Daphnia pulex: one gene and its partner. The protein of the gene in region 1 binds, or shares a complex with, the protein of each later gene. Links are inferred from orthologs where the notes say so. Each region holds a gene or a part of one and is shown on either strand. Other genes may lie near its edges.

Evidence for each region. The genes of interacting proteins can lie anywhere in the genome.
Region 2: the proteins of 2-oxoisovalerate dehydrogenase subunit alpha, mitochondrial-like (region 1) and 2-oxoisovalerate dehydrogenase subunit beta, mitochondrial-like are in contact, whole or in part, in a crystal structure (PDB 1V16), measured with the Homo sapiens proteins. The link is inferred for Daphnia pulex from reciprocal best matches to the Homo sapiens genes BCKDHA and BCKDHB. Residues at the interface, in NP_000700.1 of Homo sapiens: Phe155, Leu185, Gly186, Lys187, Arg189, Gln190, Gly196, Cys197, Lys198, Phe202, Val203, Thr204, Ser206, Pro208, Thr211, Pro214, Gln215, Val217, Gly218, Ala219, Tyr221, Ala222, Arg225, Gly244, Asp245, Ala248, Asn251, Phe252, Thr255, Leu256; in NP_000047.1 of Homo sapiens: Pro89, Thr90, Val92, Asp117, Arg118, Phe120, Asn121, Thr122, Pro123, Cys125, Gln127, Gly128, Ile129, Gly131, Phe132, Ile134, Gly135, Ile136, Val138, Thr139, Asp158, Gln159, Asn162, Glu163, Ala165, Tyr167, Arg168, Tyr169, Arg170, Ser171.

Annotation. Positions count from the first base shown.
Region 1 is NC_060021.1:6,462,788-6,466,515, forward strand, and holds 2-oxoisovalerate dehydrogenase subunit alpha, mitochondrial-like, read right to left. Parts: upstream 2,603-3,728; 5' UTR 2,446-2,602; coding exon 2,362-2,445; intron 2,296-2,361; coding exon 2,131-2,295; intron 2,071-2,130; coding exon 1,875-2,070; intron 1,814-1,874; coding exon 1,652-1,813; intron 1,584-1,651; coding exon 1,439-1,583; intron 1,370-1,438; exon of another isoform or gene 1,369-1,369; coding exon 1,165-1,368; exon of another isoform or gene 1,098-1,164; coding exon 959-1,097; exon of another isoform or gene 874-958; coding exon 746-873; exon of another isoform or gene 675-745; coding exon 596-674; 3' UTR 501-595; downstream 1-500. Other genes in the region: WASH complex subunit 2-like, read left to right, coding at 1-21, 96-220. UniProt on the Homo sapiens protein: Together with BCKDHB forms the heterotetrameric E1 subunit of the mitochondrial branched-chain alpha-ketoacid dehydrogenase (BCKD) complex.
Region 2 is NC_060027.1:5,064,289-5,068,536, forward strand, and holds 2-oxoisovalerate dehydrogenase subunit beta, mitochondrial-like, read right to left. Parts: upstream 2,801-4,248; 5' UTR 2,748-2,800; coding exon 2,630-2,747; intron 2,558-2,629; coding exon 2,480-2,557; intron 2,411-2,479; coding exon 2,208-2,410; intron 2,128-2,207; coding exon 1,972-2,127; intron 1,883-1,971; coding exon 1,711-1,882; intron 1,560-1,710; coding exon 1,414-1,559; intron 923-1,413; coding exon 836-922; intron 735-835; coding exon 594-734; 3' UTR 251-593; downstream 1-250. Other genes in the region: feline leukemia virus subgroup C receptor-related protein 2-like, read left to right, coding at 3,563-3,843, 3,923-4,025, 4,136-4,248. UniProt on the Homo sapiens protein: Together with BCKDHA forms the heterotetrameric E1 subunit of the mitochondrial branched-chain alpha-ketoacid dehydrogenase (BCKD) complex.

The DNA of each region.
Region 1 (3,728 bases):
TTGCCGATTCTGATGATGACGGTAAGCTCTTTAAAATACAAACCTTTTCTCAAAGCACCAGCACGTTCTAAAGCACCTGTCAAATTGTTTATTAGATGATCTGTTCGCCAGCACACCGAAGCTGCATAATCGCCCGAAGCCAGATCCTACTTTAGTTGTAAGCGGTAATAAAGCTGCTGCTACAGCAGCATCTGATCCCCTTCTACATTTCCAACAATGAGTAACGATACCCTCCCTTCGAGCGAGTCTAGTCTCGAAACTAAGTCGGCCTAGGTGCCTTTATTTTCATCATCATGTTGCCCAATATCGTATTAAGAAAGAAACTTTTTAAACTCTTAACATATTCTGTGATTATTCTTTCCTCGTAATTGGCATCCATGGGCATAATTTCTAAATAGAAAGCATTCCATTCGAGGCCTTATTATACTGATCGTGGCCTATAAAACCCAACAAATTTTTCTTCTACAAAGTTATAATTTACTGTATCCCTTTCCAGCATATGTGTATCATTATTGGTAATATTTTCTCGTCTGCTTCATAACATCAATCATCTTTGAACAACGACACAAGTTTACATCTAGAATATCTTAAATCATTAATCTTTCGTGAAGTTCTTTAGTGGATAATGTTCTGCATATTTCTGTACATGCTCTTCCATCTGTTTCATTTGTTCCCTATAAGAAGAGAGATAACACAAAATATATTAATACTTTTGAGTCAGCCAGAAGAAAAAATAAAAGTTTACCTTATGTGGGATGGCATTTCATGGTAAACGTCAGTAAAGATTTCTTTCCAGTTGGGTTTTAGTTTCTTTTCTGCACGGGCGAAGGCCGTCATAACCTGGCGCTTGCAATCCTCCTTCCACTCTTTCTCCTGAAAAGACGTCACCAATGAGATTAAGAAACTTTTATATCTCCATTCCTCGCCATGGTGAGGGCATAGCAAAAACGGTAAGTACCTGAGCATCTCCCCACCATCCTTTTGATAACATATAATTCCTCAGACGGGAAATGGGATGGTCACGCTCATCCCAGTAACGAACTTCATCAACGCTACGGTAGGCAGTGCTGTCGTCTGATGTGCTGTGATGGCCGATTCTGAAAACGATTCAACCAATTAGGTAATTATCATGCACTTTAGGAAATAATCTACCCTTTCACTAACCGATAAGTCATGGCTTCAATTAGGACAGGCCGCATCTCGCTGATAGCCACTTGCCGTGCCTTCAGCGTGGCATTATAAACAGCAAAAACGTCGTTACCATCAACCCTAATGGTCAACATGCCGTAAGCGGGGCCACGGCCGGCAATTCCATCACCACGGTACTGCTCTTTGGAAGGAGTTGAGATGGCGTAACCATTGTTACGACTGATTGGCGCAAAGATGTAAAGGTTAGTGTTATTTCATCATATCGCGTCAAAGTAGAAACACCACTTACCAAAAGAAAATGACTGGGCAATCTAATGTTGCGGAAAAGTTTAGGGCGGCATGAGCATCTCCTTCGCTAGATGTTCCCTCACCAAAGTAACACATGACACACAAACCATTCTGGGATCTCTTGTATGCATAGGCAGCACCCACAGCTTTATTGCAAATAAATAGGGCTTAATGGTTAGGAAACAATTTCTAGAGTTATTTCATCGACAATTACCTTGAGGCATTTGAGTACCCAACGGCGAAGAAATCGTAACGAAATTGAGTTCTTTTGAGCCATAATGTACTGGCATTTGCTTTCCTTTGCCACCATCATCGACATTACCATAGCACTGGTTCATGAACTGATCAAGTGTGAATCCTCTCCACATCAATGTTCCTGATGAAAGAAAACAATTTTAGAATGGTTGAAAAAAGCCTTTGAAGGGTAAACTACTTACCAGCTTCTCTGTACTGTCCAAAAATAAGATCCTTTGGATCTAAGGCAGCTGCACTCCCAATGTGTGTGCCTTCTTCCCCGTAGTTTGTCATGTAGAAAGAAATTCTCCCCTGACGTTGAGATTCATACAAGATTCTATCCATGGTGTTGAGTTGGGTCATGCATTTATACATTTTGATGACCATTTCTTGAGACAACTATTGGGTATGTTAGTCATTAGAGAATTTGTTGCTTTTAATAGGATTATAAAATATTACTTGGGGATCCTGACTAGGGTCTATAACTTTTCCTTTCCTATCCATAACTCTGTAGACTGGGATCCCATCGTAGAGGTCAGGGCGAATGAATTCTAGCTTTTCAGTCCACTGGGAGCGCGAACCGGGAAACTGTGGTCTTTCATCGGAAGAAAATTCTCTTGCAACCTACATTAATGAAATCAATTATTGATTTTCCCTTCAAACAAAAATGTATAACTATATTATACGCACTTGAGAAAGAGAGCCAATGTTGATTCGCTTGCAGTTGGCAGCTACCGAGCGAATACCAAAACGAGCTAGCCGTATGGGTAACATAATGCAGGCTTTTTAATTGATGCGATAAAGTAGAATTTAAAACGCTTCCTCGCCAACAGAGATTTTTCCTCGGTAAAATTTAGTTCAAACGATAACACAGCAGCAGAAGAAATTTCGTCGGAAGAGAAAAATGGTCGGTAGTCGTAGAAAATGACGCCATCTGTAGGTGGACGAATTTAGCTTGTAGTTGTAGCCAAAGTTTTCGATCACGATATTTGCACGATGCTCACGATTTATGGAAAGCGAGACGAATATGTAAAAAAATGAACAAAGAAAGGCGAACCATGCTTTTAAAAGCTTTCGTGCTGATGGAATTTGAAAGCTAGCTCGAAGATCAATGACGTAGGGTCGAAGAATTATTTCAAAAGGATATTGTTCAGACTCCAAACATAAAAATTGATGATTTTTTTTTCAAAGCTGGAATAACTTTCCTGCGCTATCACTTTCTTTCGTGCATACATATTTTCGAGGCTGGCGAAATCAGTGCAAGTTATGTATCACGACTTAATGAGGATGCCGCGCAGCTCTACTATATACATAAGTCTCACTTTCTCTTTTACTTTTTTACGATTCGGTTTCGTGCCGCGAGTTAATCGCCCATAACGGCATTAACAAGAGGATACATCTAGTCCGTGTTTTTTTCTTTTTCTCCTTAAACTTTATTACATGCATTGTACATATTTGTTCTCCGTTGCCCAGGGTTTTTCTCTCCACTCGGCTCTCGTTAAAGTCGGGCGCGTCACACACACACACACCCATATGTGTAGGAAACCGCCTCCAGTTTCGCGGTTAACCGACGAGTGAGAACCACGAGAGAAGACGACGAAATTTACTGCGCGCTAGCGCCATGATTTTTTATTTTTTATTTTTTTCTTATTTTTTATTTGGTTTTATTTTGTTCTCTGAGACCCCCCTTTTCTGGGATCTCGCTACCAGATAGCCTTGTTGTATTGTAGCTCCGTTATTCGAGTGGTTTTCTGTTTGGCTTTTTATTTTATTTTTTTCCCGAGGAAAACAAAACAAAAAAATTGGGTGTCGCAGCGCGTCGACACATGTGAACGATTAAGACATTCACTCGGCGTGAAAGAAAAAAAAGGAGAGAATGGCATTGATGTTACGACACACGACGCCGTTCGTGTCGTTCAAACTCCAATAAGCTCAGAGTATGAATTATTAGAAAGGAGAAGGACAGCGTTACGCAATTCCGAATGAATGGCCTAAAGCCCTGTAATATATATGCCGTCTTTTTTGAACAAAAATCCGCTCCACTTTTGAGAAATGTT
Region 2 (4,248 bases), on another chromosome or scaffold:
GGTGGCTCATTGTGTGTGAGCAATGATCGTGAGTTTTCTAATCATTCGGATGGGGGCTCAACCGAGCCGATCGTAAACATTGGAAACATCTAGAAAACCGATAAAAAAAATTTGAATTGTTTGCAGTCAACTCGTGTAAACCGAATCTCTTGCGTCAATTTGCTTAGTGGACGCCTCACGGATCTCTCCCTAATCCAGATCGATCCCCAAACAACGTAATCAGCGTTTTGTGTAGTCGACATATAGAATATATTTGTATGTATACTGTATATTATATATATACTATATCATTGCTGGTACATACATGTTGCCTACCGAGATAAGGAGAGCTGCGCTAAGGCCGACTGCTGGTAAATAGTGTGCAACGGTAATCGCACCCTTGAGACATACATATGCACGCCTGGACACGTACACATTCGACCTCAGTGAAGGGAACAAATGAGCATAAACAAAATTTCCTTTTTTTTTTTTTTTTTTAGATTAGTTATGTAATGTACAATCATATCTCTCTGGCGAAAGCGATTTTAATTAAATTTTAATTCTTTATTTTTTTTTTTTTCGTTTTAAACATGACTTTTTTTTTAATTGCTCTCTTAATAGTTTACTAGTTTCTTGACAGCTTCGAAGCAACGCCATTTGTCGGGCATGTAGAACGGCTCAAACATGTGCGGGAAAGGTGTGTCGAATCCCGTGACACGCTCAATGGGCGCCTCTAAATTCAGGAAACACTCGTGCTGTTTTCGGGGTAGAAAGAAAGTGTTGAATTAATCAAAGAGAAGCATTGATTGAGATCGTTCACCTTATCATCACAGCCTTTTTATTTTTTAAAAGTTACCTGAATGCTGGCCGCTATTTCAGCTCCAAATCCAGACGTCAATGGCGCTTCATGGGCTATCAACAATCGCCCCGTTTTCTTCACCGACTAGAGAAACATAGTTAGAAAGCGATTAACGAAAAATAATAATCATAATAAAATGGCGAATAGAGTAAAAACAACCAAGATCAATATAAACAAAATGGCGAAAGAGAGGCAAAAAGAAACGACAATCACATTGGATAATAAGTCAACAGGTTTCACTTCCGCGTCTCGCCTCACCGACCCTCCCACAATTCGAATATTTTTGTCCAAACCTGGTCGTTGTGCCCACAATTAGAAATCGGCAGCTCTACTGTTACAACCACCGCAACAACAACAACAACAACAAAAGGGCTGGGTGATAAACGAAAACAGAAATACAATTCCAGCCATTCAGCGCAAATGTCAAGAGAGAAGTTTCACTTAAACCATGTGACTCTCGTTTCGGATTGCTTCAAAATTTCTCATTTTTTATGGTATCTCCCTTTTTTTTAAAAACAATTTTTATTTTTTCCCACAGCAACGGAGAGAAAGGGCATAATGTTCGGGTTACCAACCTGGGCGATGGTCTCCTTGTCCCACGGGAGAATGGTAACCAGATCGATCAGTTCGCACGAAACGTTGAGCTGATCCTTGGCTAGTTGGCAGACTTCGCGCAGAACATGAACCTGGGTGCCCCAGCCGACCAGCGTGATGTCATCTCCTAATGAAATCAGATTAATAAAACCCATATGTTGGCGACGTTTCTCTTTTTATCGTCGGGCGAATAAAATCCCGACATCAAAAATATGTTTATACGTCTCAAAAAAGATAAGACCAACACAACACATGATGATTTGATTATGGACACAAACCTTCGACTAGGATGTCGGCTTTCGACAACGGCATAGTGTACTCTTTGACTGGAACCTGTTCGACGGCGCTACGGTACAGGATCTTGGGTTCGAAGAACAAGCACGGGTTTTTGTCACGAATGCACGACAGGAGCAAGCCCTTGGCCTTGATGGGCCCTCGGGGAACCACAACCTTTTAAAGACAACGTACAGAACCGCATTAAAAACAACAAAAAAAAAACAGTGTCACCTATCATCCATGACAAGAAATTCAGGTTTCACCTTGAGTCCGGGGCAATGAGCAAAGAAAGCTTCAGGGCTTTGGGAGTGGTACACCGCTCCATGCCCTACTGCAGAGCAGGGAGCACGGATGGTCAGAGATCCACAATCATAAATGCCCCCACTCCTGTACCGGTATTTGGCAGCTTCATTGCATATCTGGCAAAAATAATGATTTCGAACAAGACCTGTTTAATGTTTCGAGATAATGAATATAGCTTCAGGCTCTTGAATGATACCTGATCAAATGCTGGAAGGATGTAATCTGCAAACTGAATCTCTGCAATGGCAGTGGCTCCAGCAGTGGCAGCTCCGATACCAAATCCAGCAATTCCTTGCTCACACAGTGGGGTGTTGAAAACTCTGGACTTGCCGTGCTTCTCCTGGAGGCCAACTGTGCAGCGAAACACTCCACCAAATGCAACATCCTCACCAAAGATAACTGCAAGCAAATCAAAATTCTTAAAAAGTGCAAATCAAACCATTTGAATTAATTGTCATGTTTACTTACCAGCAGTTGGATCTTGGGTTAGAGCTATATCAAGTGAATTATTGATGGCCTGAAACAAATTCATCCGCTGAGTTTCACCTGCGTGCGAATCAAATTCATTTTAACGATGCCATGCATTCAATATACATCAAAATTAACCGATTGGCGAACCTTCGGAAGCAGAAACAGTATCTGGAACGAAAGTGAAATGAGACAACCGCTGAGATATTCTTAACGGGCATTTATTGTTGAGAATGAGATTCCGTTTAATGAAAGTACGGAGAGCCATGTTTACACTTAGCAATTTTACGTCGATATCGTCTGATTCCAACTTCCGATTATTCGTTTTTTCATCACTAGAGCTGCCATCTATCGTTGCGAACGGTCATCTCTTGAACCAAACGCAATGCCGTTCCTTGTTGTCTACTCTAATCGATTAGAGCAGCACTTCTTCCTGTTCCGCGGGTCACGAAATAAAAAGTTATCGCCCCCATGTGACCCGGATGGCGTATCAAGTTGGCGAGCGATCATTTACAATTTTTTTTTCTTTTTATCCAGAATTTAGTTCAACATTTAACCGCAATTTTCTCCCAACAAAGAAACCTTACAACTTTTCGTGGGCTAGTATACAAATAGACCCAACACAATTGAACTCGGCCATCAAAATGTAATGAGAATCCATGTTTGCTGTGACGAAATCGATTGGCAATTCAACCTTGAAGGGCATTCGTTGACTGGACGCTCCCAATGTGATAGGATATCAATATGGCATCCCACGAGAGCCCAACATCAACAATCATCCGTCAGGATAATCGCGTACGACTGTAAGTCTAAGCTCACTCGTACATAGTCAAGTCAGTAGTGTGGACCGCAAGTGTAAATAACGGAGAACAACCATTTGATCAGCATCAATTTGTATTTTTTTTATTTTTTTAAGTTTATTACCAGAATGGCGCCTTTATTTGTCGCCTGACCCGTCACTTGAACCGGGCCTATAACCAAGCTATAGACGATCGATAAAATTCGCCGTTCTCATTCCTATTCAAAGTGCACCAGTCCCTGAAAACGATAGTGCGAACATTGACATTTTTTGTCATCAGACATATGGAGTCGAAAATGACGCCGGCCAGCCCAGTCAGCGATCACGATCTACTGACACATCACAATAAGCATGCGCAGAAAAATGGGAACGAGATAGTCGTTTTCCACATTTCGGTGCCGGAAGAAGCCGAGTCGAAAAACACCGGATCGCAGGATCATCGGCAAATGCTGTCCACCAAAGTGTACCCACGGAGATGGCTGATGCTCTTGATTTTCGTCACGGTCTCAATGCTCAACGCCTTCCAATGGATCCAGTTTTCTATCATAACCAGTTTGCTGATCAAGTACAACCTATATCATTATCATACGTATTAAAAGTAGCTACGTACCGAGTTCATATCTTTTTTTGTTTGATGTATCTAGATATTACGGCGTCGATAGTCAAACTGTCAACTGGACGTCATTGGTTTACATGGTGGTTTATGTTCCATTGATATTTCCAGGTGCCTGGGTCATGGATAAAATGGTCAGTCTAGACATGGGAAAACAGGAATTTCAGAGTGCAAATGCTGATAACAGCAGGCCATTGAAAATAATAAATAAATAACTCCCGGGTCTAAATTTATCTCTCAATAGGGTTTACGAGTGACGCTGTTGATTGGAAGTTTGGGGACGGCGGCTGGCGCGTGGGTTAAAGTATTATCCGTCGCTCCCGATCGCTTTTACGTCGCCCTCATCGGTCAAACGAT